Linked DNA regions of Tribolium castaneum. The protein of the gene in region 1 interacts with the protein of each later gene in a biochemical or structural test. Links are inferred from orthologs where the notes say so. Each region holds a gene or a part of one and is shown in the gene's direction. Other genes may lie near its edges. The genes, in order: ci, Su(fu) and fu.

Evidence for each region.
Region 2: the proteins of ci (region 1) and Su(fu) form a complex in vitro, tested with the Drosophila melanogaster proteins (2 studies listed by BioGRID). The link is inferred for Tribolium castaneum from reciprocal best matches to the Drosophila melanogaster genes ci and Su(fu).
Region 3: the proteins of ci (region 1) and fu form a complex in vitro, tested with the Drosophila melanogaster proteins (2 studies listed by BioGRID, with this or other methods). The link is inferred for Tribolium castaneum from reciprocal best matches to the Drosophila melanogaster genes ci and fu.

The regions. Positions count from the first base shown.
Region 1 is NC_087394.1:31,429,235-31,433,384, forward strand, and holds the start of ci (transcriptional activator cubitus interruptus), read left to right. Parts: upstream 1-1,279; 5' UTR 1,280-1,727; coding exon 1,728-1,912; intron 1,913-4,150. UniProt on the Drosophila melanogaster protein: Has a dual function as a transcriptional activator and a repressor of the hedgehog (Hh) pathway. The full-length ci form (ciFL), acts as an activator (ciA) while ciR, its C-terminally truncated form, acts as a repressor. Involved in segment polarity.
Region 2 is NC_087397.1:4,508,562-4,512,675, forward strand, and holds Su(fu) (suppressor of fused homolog), read left to right. Parts: upstream 1-1,244; 5' UTR 1,245-1,490; coding exon 1,491-1,639; intron 1,640-1,861; coding exon 1,862-1,954; intron 1,955-1,998; coding exon 1,999-2,406; intron 2,407-2,457; coding exon 2,458-2,859; intron 2,860-2,910; coding exon 2,911-3,190; 3' UTR 3,191-3,467; downstream 3,468-4,114. Other genes in the region: Lrrk (leucine-rich repeat serine/threonine-protein kinase 1), read right to left, coding at 509-674, 729-926, 976-1,029; uncharacterized protein LOC107399185, read left to right, coding at 3,806-3,806, 3,859-4,052, 4,103-4,114.
Region 3 is NC_087395.1:1,160,831-1,165,010, reverse strand, and holds the start of fu (serine/threonine-protein kinase fused), read left to right. Parts: upstream 1-1,321; coding exon 1,322-1,489; intron 1,490-1,537; coding exon 1,538-1,651; intron 1,652-4,180. Other genes in the region: centriolar and ciliogenesis-associated protein HYLS1, read right to left, coding at 324-496, 545-886, 938-1,091. UniProt on the Drosophila melanogaster protein: Probable serine/threonine-protein kinase; maternally required for correct patterning in the posterior part of each embryonic metamere. May be involved in control of cell division during metamorphosis and ovarian development. May interact with costal-2.

The DNA.
Region 1 (4,150 bases):
TCATAGTAAAGGTATTGAAATGCAGACGTTATTCTCAAACACGTTAAATAAATGTGTTTGTTTACCTCATATACTTGTAAATAGAAAAAATTACATTGTTTGATTCATTTCTCATGTAGGTATACCTCGGTTCTTTTTTATCGCTTTGATGGCAACGTCACAAAGACGTTTTATGAGGTGAAATTGGTCACAAACATTTGATTTACGTTGGAAAGAAGAATGTTATAATTGGATTCTACTAACAAATTTAGAGCAAATGATGAGCTCCACTGTTTCATAAACAAAAAGAATTATAAAACTCGATTCAATGACCATAGAAATCTACACATTTGTGAAAAAAATCCTTGGACAATCGAATTTGTTCTTGTTTCCGTTCATCATACCTATGATTCTTTGATTTCATATCTAAGAGATGAGGGTCCAAGGTTTGACATTATCAACATTTTTTTAAATGAGATACATAATCCTCTTTTTGAAGCCATAAATGAAAAGTTCGCATTTTTTACGCTTTTGTAGTAATTTACTGGAGACAATGGGAACAAAAGGGGTAGGTTTTATAGGTAGACGTTTCAGTATGTTATTTTTTTCAAATTTTAAGTAAATTTGCGAATTTTTTTTGAACAATTACAAATGGAAAGGATGTTTTATTTGATGAGTTCTGTTACTTGTTAAAATTAATACATGTATTTCTGATACACTCTGTATTTATAAAAAGCATAAGCGTGTATGCTCCGGTTTTAGGCAAAAAATGTCCACGTGTCCAATTCTTTTCATACAATTTTTGCACTATTTACACTATTTACACTATACAAATTTGATTACAGGTATAGTTTGCCGTATTTGTGCCTACACTTTGTTAACTTAACGAATTGTTAAAACACATGAGTATATAAAAACTACCTACATGATATTACATTTCATTCAGAATCCACTTAGCACAATTGTGTATTTGATGTTTGTTTTTCTTTTCAGCTAAAATATGTTACATGTTTATTTACAGACTGTTACAAAACGTAAAGTAGCACATTTTTACTTTTATTAACTACACACTACTACTATGTTTTCCTTATTTCATTTCTCGTACAGCAAAAACTTTCATTATCTCAGAAATGAAAAGCGATATAACTATGAAATCGTAGCGAGTGAGAAGCCTAGAAAATGGAAGGTTTATTGATATAAATGGAGGCTCCTAATTCGCTGCTACGCCACTGAGTAAATAAGAGAGTACAGAATGTGAGTCCATTCCCTCGCAGTCGGTCTGGGTTGGCCCCTCCCCGGGCTCCCTTCTTCCACACTCGTTAGTTGAGTTGTAAGGCCTGCCTGTCAACTACTCGCCTGCCTCTACTCTAGTTAGTTGTCCGTAGTCTATAGGCTGGTTGTGTTGTACTATACCTATTAGCAAATAAAGCATGTGCCTTACGCATCACCAGCAAGTGCCTCCGCGACGATGCCTCTCCTATTATTAGCCGCTCCGAATTGCCCTAAGTGCCTGGATTAAGTGTCTAGACTGGATAATACCCGCACCGATTCAAGCCCAATTACCGCCCCATAAAAATAAATTCAAATCGCGATGCTCCGGCGCGGAAAACCGCGAACTCGTGTGCCGCAGCCTTTAATTGAGACATATCCAATTAGCTAAGAAATTGCTAGATGACAGCGCTGATGACCGGTAGCGCGTTTTTGTGACAATCAGTTGTGACACAATTTAGTGATGTGACTAGTGCGATATGCCCGAAAAGGAGGCGGATTTTCAAGCCGCTATGTCTGCTGGTCTACCGTTACAGTTCCCGTCGGCTTTTGCGGCTTTCCACGCGCCTCTTCCCGTTGACCAACGCACGCACGAAGGACGATACGTCTGGGACCCCAGGATGCAGCCGCCAGGAGCGCCCTTCCACCATCCCACGCCGCCAGGGTGAGTCCAGCACGCTGACAGTGCTGCTCAACACTTGCGGAACGGCAATTGAGCAAAAACCTATATCTATATCAAGTCATATACACTGAACTCTTTTCTAAATCGTACTGAAGAAGAAGCAAACTTGTTGCTTTTAATTTTTGCATTCCATAACATTTAAAAAAGTTTGTTACGTATAGAGGTCATCTTCACTTAACAATTTGAGTTAAATTTTTATCACCGAAACGTAAAGATAAACTCATTATTAATGGCTGGGAACGTGAAACCAACTCGACAACGGGAAGTGGTCGTCCGAAAATAATGTATAACTGTTCTGGTCATTGTCGGAGATGACGCTATTGGTTTTTAACGGCATTTGACTACGTTTTTATCTCAAAAACTGGTCAACATAAATTTGAATAAAAACAAAGAAACATAAAGAGCGAATTGATTTAAAAAGCAATTCTAGAGAGAAGAGGATTCTCTAGGTATCACTGTTACTACAACTGTAATAAAAAAGATATTTTTGACTCGGTCCACTTTTATTACCCTCATGATGTTCCAAGCGTTTTAAACAGTGAGACAAGCTAAAAGGTAACTACTTGTTAGCAGCAGTGCTACTTTTCTCTAAGTAGCAACTTCCAAATGGTGCTTAATTATTGAAGAAAGGAAGATTTGAAAGAATAGAAGATTTTGATTAAAATTATATTCATATTCAAATTCGCAAAAGGTGAATTTTTTGAGTAGCCAGTTTCATTCTCTTATTTGTAAAAAAAATATATTTGTTAACATAAAGGCAGGTTCACACCTAGAAAGTAGTAAGTAGAGATCATACTTAAGCATAGATATTTTTAAAAAAAACAGGCTATTCCGTCTAAACCCCACATTAGAAGTTCTAATAATGATACTCATCTAAAAATTTACACACAACCTTAATCCGTTAGGTCCTGATCAATGAAAATATTTTGAACATGGCAGCACTTCCGGTTATACCGGAAGTCGTTATCAACTTTTTTATTTTCAATCGGAAGCTGTACTTATCTATCAGCTTTCCCTATACCTAAATTTACTTGTTTTCGAAATATTTAGGGTTTTTTGAAAATTTTTGGATTTGCTTCTTTGACTTTAAAACTTTATAACTCTGCCGGTTTTAAAAATTGGAAAACTTTTTTGGCTTTGAAAGAGAAGGTATAATAAATGTTTTCTTGGGTGTTTTCTTTTTAAAAAAAGTTAGCAGTAAATTTTTAAGATTAAATTTGCAGAACGTTTTAAACACCTATAACTTAAAATTTTCAAATGAAATCCCACAATTTTTATTTAACTAAATGGTAAACTTTTCTTCCATATTTTGAACATACTGAAGGAACGTACTTTTCTTCTTTGATTATCCAAATACGATTTATAAAACTCAAAAAACGTCAGTGTTATCGATTTTTGAAGTCAAAGATGCAAATCTGAAAATTTTCAAAAATAACTCGTAAATATCTCGAAAACGGATTAATTTAGGTGTAGGGAAGCGGATGAAAAACCTCTTGAAGTAACTCGAGTTATTTAAGAACGCAGTAAAAAACATATCTTTCTATTATGCTATTAAAAATTACTTCTTGGTGTCCTTTCCTTTTTATAAAATCATGGTTCGAGTTGGTGGTGCCTATTTTGGTTGTGAATTTTTCGTTACAATGATGCGTCTGTCCATCAGACAATTTGTTGAGCTGATACAAAAAGTGTCGAATCACGTTCGATGTTGGCTCTTTTGGTTTACGGTTGGATCCTATTTCTTTGTCTATAGACACGTAAATTTGTCATTGTCGGTAATCATCCAGGAAAGGATAATTTATGATTATTGACTTGGAAGTTTGAACTTGCATTGAGAGTGGAGAAAAATTTGACAGTGTTCCAGTTATTATTTAAATTTTTTGAGTGTGATGAAACAAGCCGGTAGTGTTTACGTTGACGCAACAAAGTTTTACGAGTTGCTCCCTCATCCATTAAAGACTTTAAAGCAAGACGTAAATAAACATCTTCTAATGTGGATTTTCTGCAATTTGTAGGATTTATTTAGGGATTTTAGACCGGAACATCCGAAATAACAAACATTTTAACGACATCGTTAAGGTATAGACCCACCGAAAGCCATTCAATCCGTCCCTAACAATCTCTTTTCTCCGAATCGACAGCACGTAACATTGACGCATTGCCTGAAATCCTTAGGATTTCAACAAACTCATGATCTCTTTTGTGCTCACAATCGGACAGGTC
Region 2 (4,114 bases), on another chromosome or scaffold:
CACTGTTTTATAAAAAGAATTGGCTTATCTAATAATTTAAGGTATTTCCGTTAATTTAATTGATAGAGATTTAATGCAAACACAAATACAGCATGTAATTCGTGACTTAGGCAAATTTTATTAATATGTCTCAAAGTTTACACTTTTGAGTAACATTTTTTTATTGCGTCTTCACTTTTATTTTGGCCAATTTTATTTGTTGTGTTAATCAGTCACAGTATGTTTAAAATTCCAAAGTAGAGAGTTTGTATAAAAAAATGTTATACACTAATAAAAACAAAAGTTGGAAAGTATTCTTCCGGCTTTTAAATTAATCTAAATAATAACTACAAAGTGTTCCAAGACATACAAATACTTTTAAATTAAGTCACTCAGAAAATGTACATTTTTTATGTACATTATATTACATAATGTCCTGTTGTACAAGAGTTTATAATCACTGACAATAAGTATTCGTTGAGCAGTATATAACCCTGAGAAAAAAATTGAATAGGGATTATTTACTTACCCACAGCTTCTTTCAATAGTGTTACACACTTCACATGCCCCGCTTTTTCAGCCAGATCGAGAGCACTCATTCCATTCGCATCCAGAATTTGAATATCTGAATCATGCTGCAGTAAAATTGAGACATTACTGTTATGCCCATGTTCGGCACTTAAATGCAAAGGAATCTAAAACGAGAGCAATTATTTTCCTACAACTGCTAAAATTAATTAAAAACAAACCTTCTGGTCGCCTCTTGGGCCGCACCGAATGTTAGGATCGGCCCCTGCATTTAGTAAAATTGTCAAACACCCTGAATTATCATTAATAGCAGCTGCATGTAGGGGGGTTCTCCCCCAACTGTCCTGCGAGTTCAGGAAGGCCTGTTGGCCCCCTTCTAGCAAGTCCATGAGTAAATGTGTGTTGTCCCATAACGCGGCCTTAAAACAACAATCAAATTTTGCAAATTAACTAGTTAAAGGAACGAACCTGGTGTAGGAGCCGGCCTGGAAAATCTTCGTCTTCAGGCGAAGAATCCAACATTGTGGCGATCGATAACGCTCCCAACACCTACATTACACAAACGCGGAAACTAACACAATTTCGTGCAAAAACCGCGAAGCGTTTCAACGATAATAATTTCGCAACGATTGAGAAATACAAAAATGTCCTTATTTTGACTGCTGGATTAGAGGTTAGTTTAATTGTCGCAACGACAAGCAACCTAACAACGCCAAAAGCCACCCCTTGCACCCACTTTTCGAACGGGCTCTAGGGAAATTTCTGTTTGGTGAGTTACCGAGCCAGGTTACTCTTGTTTTGTTTGGCGGGTTGCCTAAAAGTTGTTCCTGCATTCTTGAAATATTTTCTTTTATTGGTCTGGACGGAAGTGTAAAATGTTCTAAAGTGGTAACAAACGGCTAAATATAATACTTTCTGCCGATTTCTAGTAAGTAGAGGTGTTGGTTTGTAAAGTTTTAAAGTTGGGGGGGCCCAATAGAACAATGAATGAAGCTGCTGCTCTGCCCCATGGACCCCCAATGAACATTCTGCCACCGACACCAGCAGGTTTGGAGTCTTTGTACACGCTATGTAGGAAAATTTACCCCGATCAAGCCAACCCCCTTCAAGTCACGGCCCTCATCAAGTACTGGCAAGTGATTTTTGCAATAAAATTACATAATTCGTTTAATTTAACGTACATGTAATTATTTTGGCAATTGCCGGGCTTATAATTGTGCGAAATTTCCATTAAATTAAAATTTGACTCAGGTTCTATTTATAGTCACTTCCTGTTTTTTCTGTCTGCTTCCCTTGTATGTAAACAGGGGAGCTGACCTATTTTATTTTTAAACGAGGGGATACTTTTTTATAGGCTGGGAGGGCCCGATCCTTTAGATTACATATCAATGTATGCAAATCCAGGCATTCCACAAGAAAACATTCCTCCACATTGGCACTACATAAGGTAGCAATCTTTTAAGTGAAATATTTAATAAACGAAAATTTTAGTTTTGGTCTCTCAGACCTTCACGGTGACGGGCGAGTGCACGACGTGTCAGGAGCTAATGGTGTTTCAGGTTTTGGTTTTGAGCTAACATTTAGGCTAAAACGGGAGCCTGAAGAGACGGCACCGCCCACCTGGCCCGCAACTTTAATGCAATCTTTAGCGAAATACGTTTTTCAGTCAGGCAACACTCTTTGTGCTGGTGACCACGTTTCCTGGCACTGCGCGTTAGATAGCAGCGAGTCACGAATACAGCACATGTTGATGACCACAGACGTGCATTTGAAGTCAATACAGACGCCTTTTGGTTCTGTCGATTTCGTCCAAATTGTTGGTATTTGCGCCGAGGAGCTGAAAGCAGCCCAGCAGTGGAACGGGGCCGGGGTGCTTGATATGATAACTAGAATACCGTCGTAAATCGCACCACCAATCACGTTTTCGTAAAACTTAAGTCTGGGTTTTAGTGCTGGGGGGCCTTGGTTTATCACGGATATGAGGCGAGGGGAGAGCATTTTTGAGCTTGATTTAAACGCGCACGAGGAAGTCGAGCGAGGGTTTGAGTTAGAGGGCTCCAATTTGAGCGGAGTCAGCGCTAGGTGTTCATGGGTTGAGCAAGACCCTGCTCGTATTGACATAATGCATTTGAAAGAAAAGTCCGATTGTGACAATTTCCAAGCTCAAGAGGACGTAACTCTGTTAAATTCACCTCAAAAACCGCTACAGAGTGGCAACTTTGAACAAAACCGCTCCAGTAGCACCAATTTCAAAATGGACGAGTCAACTGAGTTGTTGCACATAAAGAAATTAGAGGGCGTCCATTTGGTTTTTAATTTGGAGGCTGGGAGTTTACTCCCTTTGGCCATCAGGTGAGGGAATTTTACGTGTTGGTGTTGTTTCTATTTTTTATTTTTGAAAAGGGGGCGCGTACGACATGGTAGACATTTCACATTTAAGTCAGTTTTGGGTGAAACTGCCATAACACTAGTGGCAGGTACGGTTACAGGGACGTTGGTGAACTCAGAACACCCTTATGTAGCTCAGGGTTCATGGCTACAAATACTTATTACCGACGATTTAGCTCAGGATATGGCGGTTACTTTTCAAGTTCTGGCCACTCCAGAGGCGCTTTCTTTACCAAAAACATTCTCATGGCCCGACAAAAAGTTATCTGTGACTATTGTAGCGGACAAGTTATAGTATTTACAGTTATCTCATTAATCATAATAAGACTAAAATAGGTTTAATTTAGCCTTAGTCTCACGAAATAATCAAAAGCAATATGTAGGCATATTTCTTATCTTAGGTTTACTCAATTAATTTATTACATTATTTATTATTACCTAACTTAAATAGAACAACCCCCCATATGCTATACATATCGGATTTAAAGTACAAAAAGTAACCCATATTATGTACCATAGACCTGTAAACTGTCCCACTTGATTCTAAACGAATAAAGATGCTTTCTTTTGAATTAGGTTTTTTATTTTTATACCATGCTTTCTAATTTTTTTATCGAAATGGCCTGTGAAATTAAGTCGTTTGATTTACTTCATACGCGCTATCAGTCGTGACGTCACCTCCCCACTCTTATTACGGTAGGTCAGTTGCTCAAAGCTAAACAACCAGTCTTTTACATGTGGTGTAATACGTTTTTCGGTTTTTTGGTTGTGTTTGTGCGTTAATAACGTGTCAAATAGCTGCAGCGGGTGTAATTTGTGCCACTAGAGACTTTAATTTAATTTAGAAGTGACTTTTTGTGAAAATACGAACTTTATAAAAGAATACAGGGAACCACGTTGTCGGTGAGAAAGTGAGTAAGCTTTAATTATACTTTGAGAAACTATTATATTTATGCATTTTAGTGGCAGAAAAGCACATTGTTAAGTTTCACTTTATTGCGAAATTTTTTGGGGACGGTAATCGCTTTTTAGTTCGGGGAGAAAATGCTTTTACCAGCGGTCACGTCACCAAATTTAGGTTTGATGGCACAGTACAACCGATGAGAATTTCTGCAGAAGTTCTACCGAGCATGAAAAAGCTAAATTATACTGTGGAGGTTTGTATTTATTTAACTGTTAGACATTTCTTCTACAAAGTGTGTTTTAGATTTCATATGAC
Region 3 (4,180 bases), on another chromosome or scaffold:
AATCGCGTATCGTAATGACCTCAGTAGTTACACAACTTTTGACTCACTTGATTATATCCTTGAGTATGGAAGACAAGGCAGCCCCCTCGAAATTTATCATAAAAACAGTTGCGGGACAATTTCTAGATAAACAGGAGAAGCAAATGTCGTCAAAGTCGATTTTATAAATCTTGAAAGTTTTTTTTGTAATATTACCGCCATCGTTTTGTTTACATTTATTTAGAGGTTAGATTTTCTGCACGAAGTCATTTTCATTTAACACGACATGATTGTAACAATTTATTATAAAACTGGTCGTTTTAACGTAAAAATACACATAAAAATCAAGCTCTTGTCACTCTAGGTCCACTCATCATTTTTTCTCTAATAGCCCACCTCAAGTCGGTTCTGTTGTCTTCACCTGGAATTTTTTGTCGCTTCCAACACTTTTGATATTGGTGGTAGAGTGCGACAGGGTCACTCTTATTAATATTTGTTTGAATTCCCGGTCTTATGACTACAAGCTTAAACGTAAAAAAACTTACAAACACTTTAAAATACTTACAGGAACTTTTAGGTTTGCTAGAATTAATCATTTTTTTCCAAGGCACATCTTTAACGGGCACAAAGTCAAGCGTGTCTTCTTGACCCTTTTCAGGGGCTGTTTGTGCCTCCAACGTGTTTTCGTGACAATGGTGTTGTGGTCCTTTACTTGTCTTGATTTTTAACGAAATTACACTTTCTTTCTTTGAAACTGTTTTGGCTCTTGAAGAGTGAGTCCCTTGTGAATGTAAAACTAGAAACACATCATCTTTATTTTTTTCGTTTTCGTTCGGCACATCTGTTTCATTTCCAAGGCTTTGTTTGCTTCTCTTGCGTTCTTCATACTTTATCAATTTTTTCAAGTCTGAAAACCAAACTTTTGTTCAATTAAAGTAACAAAAAATGACTCACCAACCGTAAACAAATTCTTTCAATTGTTGTGGGTTAATGTTGTGATAACCCAAGTCATTTAAATACGCTAATACTTCCCTAGGGCTTATTTTTGTGGTCATTTTTAAGAAAAAAAATAAGAAAACGTTGAAACAAAACCTTAAATTTCTAGGCAACATACGAAAATCAAATTCCCTAAAAGTGGGGACATAAAATAAGTGTTACAAAACCTCGCAGTTGGTTAATTTCACAATAACGTTGATTTTATTAAACACTGCTAATCACAAAATCATTTTTATCAACAAAATTGGTATTTCTTTGCAAAAAATTGCTTTCCACCCAGTCAGTTACTTTCACGAGGGTTGGTGTCCCTGCCTGTCAGCGTGACAAACATCTGATTGTCAAAAAAATGTCACGCGGAAGTGTAAGTAAACAAAAACAATCCTCTCCAAGTGTAAAAAATGATATGGACAAGTATGAAGTTATTAAATTATTGGGCGAAGGATCGTTTGGACGAGTTTACAAAGCGAAAGTAATCGCAGATTCATCTTTTGTTGCCTTAAAAGTTATCTGTAAAGTGAGTTAAAAACTGAGGCTCGAACTCGTTCAAATTTATTTCATTTAGGGTCGAAGATCGAACAAGGAAATAATTGGTCTACGAAGGGAATGTGAAATTCAAAGACATTTGCATCATCCCAATATTATACAAATGCTTGATTCGTTTGAAACTCCAAATGAGGTGAGACAATTTTTCCCAAGTTCTTTTCGTTTTTTAAACAGATTTTCAATGTACCGTACAAATGTTAGGCAACCAACACCAAATCTGGTGATTTTCGTGTTAATTTGGTGAAAACTGTATAAACATTTTGTTTAGTGATTTTAGAAAAATGCTTTTTATACAAACAATCACATTTACAAAAATTTTGATTCACTGTTCAACGTCTGTTGTTATTTTTATTTAAGTATGATTTAACAAATTAAATGGGATAGTAGAGACAAGATGGAGTTTATTTTTTTTTTAATAAATAAAAAACCAATGTAAATTAGTCTGCTATCCCAGTAATGATTTAAATCATACTTAAATTTACAAAAATTGTAAAAAGTTGTGGTGACACCAGAAATCTAACAGTATTCCTCCAACATATGTTAAATTATTTTTATGTTTAATTATTTGTAGAATTTGTGTTCGCAATGAAATTACATTTTTTCATGTTATTTTTTATTATTTTTTCAGTTTTCTTTTATTTTCGTATCGTTTAACTGCTTGTCTCATAATTTTTTCTTTCTATCTTCGTTTAATTTTGTGTGTTTTCTTTTATGCCTTTTTTGCATTTTTTTATTTTGTTTTTTTTTAATTTTGTGGGTTTATTTCTCCTGCGACATTATTCTATTCGTTGCTTTAGCATTTCTTTTTCATATTACCATTGCTTTACTTTTTGTTTTTTTTTACCTTTTGCTATATTTCTTTCATATTATATTGTCTTCAGTTTATGGCTTCGTCTTTTGTAGTTTGTCGTTTGTGGTTTATTCTGTTCTTTTTTTTCTATTCTACCGAGTGCTCAAAAACCGACGCACCAACTTATTGGAATATGGTAGAGAATTGCTTACATATAACGGTAAAATTAGTAAAAAAATTCTTTGTATTAAAATTATTGATAAATAATTATATTAATTATATTATATATAATATATATATATATATATATTATAAATATATATATATATTATAAAAAATATATATAATTATAAATATTAATTATATTTAATTAGATGATATGTGGCAACGTTGTCTAACAGTGATGATCGCAATAGAACTTAATCAACAATAAAAATAAATTATTTTTGAAACGGTTTCCTAAGTAATAATTCCCAATGTTGACACATCTACAAATTGTGATTTTTTTGACGAATTTTATTTTTTTTAATTAAAAAATCTGCTAAAGTCTGATAGGAAATTTAAAAATAATTATTCATTGTTGTGTTAGGGAACGATTACTTAGTGTGAAACATAAAACTATTAAAAAATAATGAAAACTGAAGAAGTTTACAAAATAAGTTTGTAGCTCCATATTTTTTAAAATATGACATTAGGAATTTTTTCAAGATTTTTTCCGTGATCTACACATGCTTCTCAACAGCGTACCACTGAGTTGGTGCGCCAGTTTTTGAGCATCCTGTATAGTTCTATACAGTTTTATTCTATTCTATATAGTTTTTTCTTAATCATCCTTTTTTTACATTTTCAATAATGTTTTTTGAGGCCATCTTTTCCAATTTTTTATTTTTTTATTTAAAATTTAGATTTTTTGTCTTTATTGGTTATTCTTTATTTTCTTATTTTCTCTTTCAAGTAATTTCGTAAAACAATTTTTATTTCCTTGTACTGTTTTTTCCTTATTATTTTTGCCTATTATCTATTAATGATCTTGTTGCTAAATTAAATTGTTGTAATCAGTTGATCAGACGATCTAAAAATTTTTGTTTGAAACACCAAATAAAGAGAGACAATTTTTCCTTATATTTTACTAAGTTCTTTTCGTTTTTTAAACAAAGATTTTCAATATAGTGTATAAATGTTAGGCAACCAACACCAAATCTTGTGATTTTCGTGTTAATTTGATGAAAACTGTGCAAAAATTTTGTTTGGTGATTTTAGAAAAATGCTTTTTATACCAACAATCACATTTACAAAAAATTGTATTCACTGTTCAACGTCTGTTGTTATTTTTATTTAAGTATGATTTAATAAATTAAATGGGATAGCAGAGACAAGATGCAGTTAATTTTTTTATATAAATAAAAAATCAAAGTAAATTGCTCCTTGTCGGCTATTCTAGTAGTGAATCAAATTATCCTTAAATTTACAAAAATTGAAAAATAATGTTTGTGAATTACGCAGGACTGAGTTGTGGTGACACCAGAAATCTAACACAATTTGAAATCAGGAAACCAGTTACAATCTGAGTATTCCCCCAACATATTTAAAATTATTTTTATGTTTAATTATTTGTAGAATTTTTGTTCGCAATGAAGTTATTATTTTTTCAGTTTTCTTCTATTTTCGTATCGTTTGACTGCTTGTCTCACCATTTTTTTCCTTCTGTCTGTTAAGTGAAGGGGGCGCTGCTGTTGAAATTGGCGGGAAATGATGACGCGTGAGGCGCGTACGGGCAACGCCTAGTTAGTTGGAAGGACACTGTGGAAGTGTCAATGTCGTTGTTGAATCTAATTTGCTAATAAATTAGTTTTTGGGTGAATTCCGAGTTTC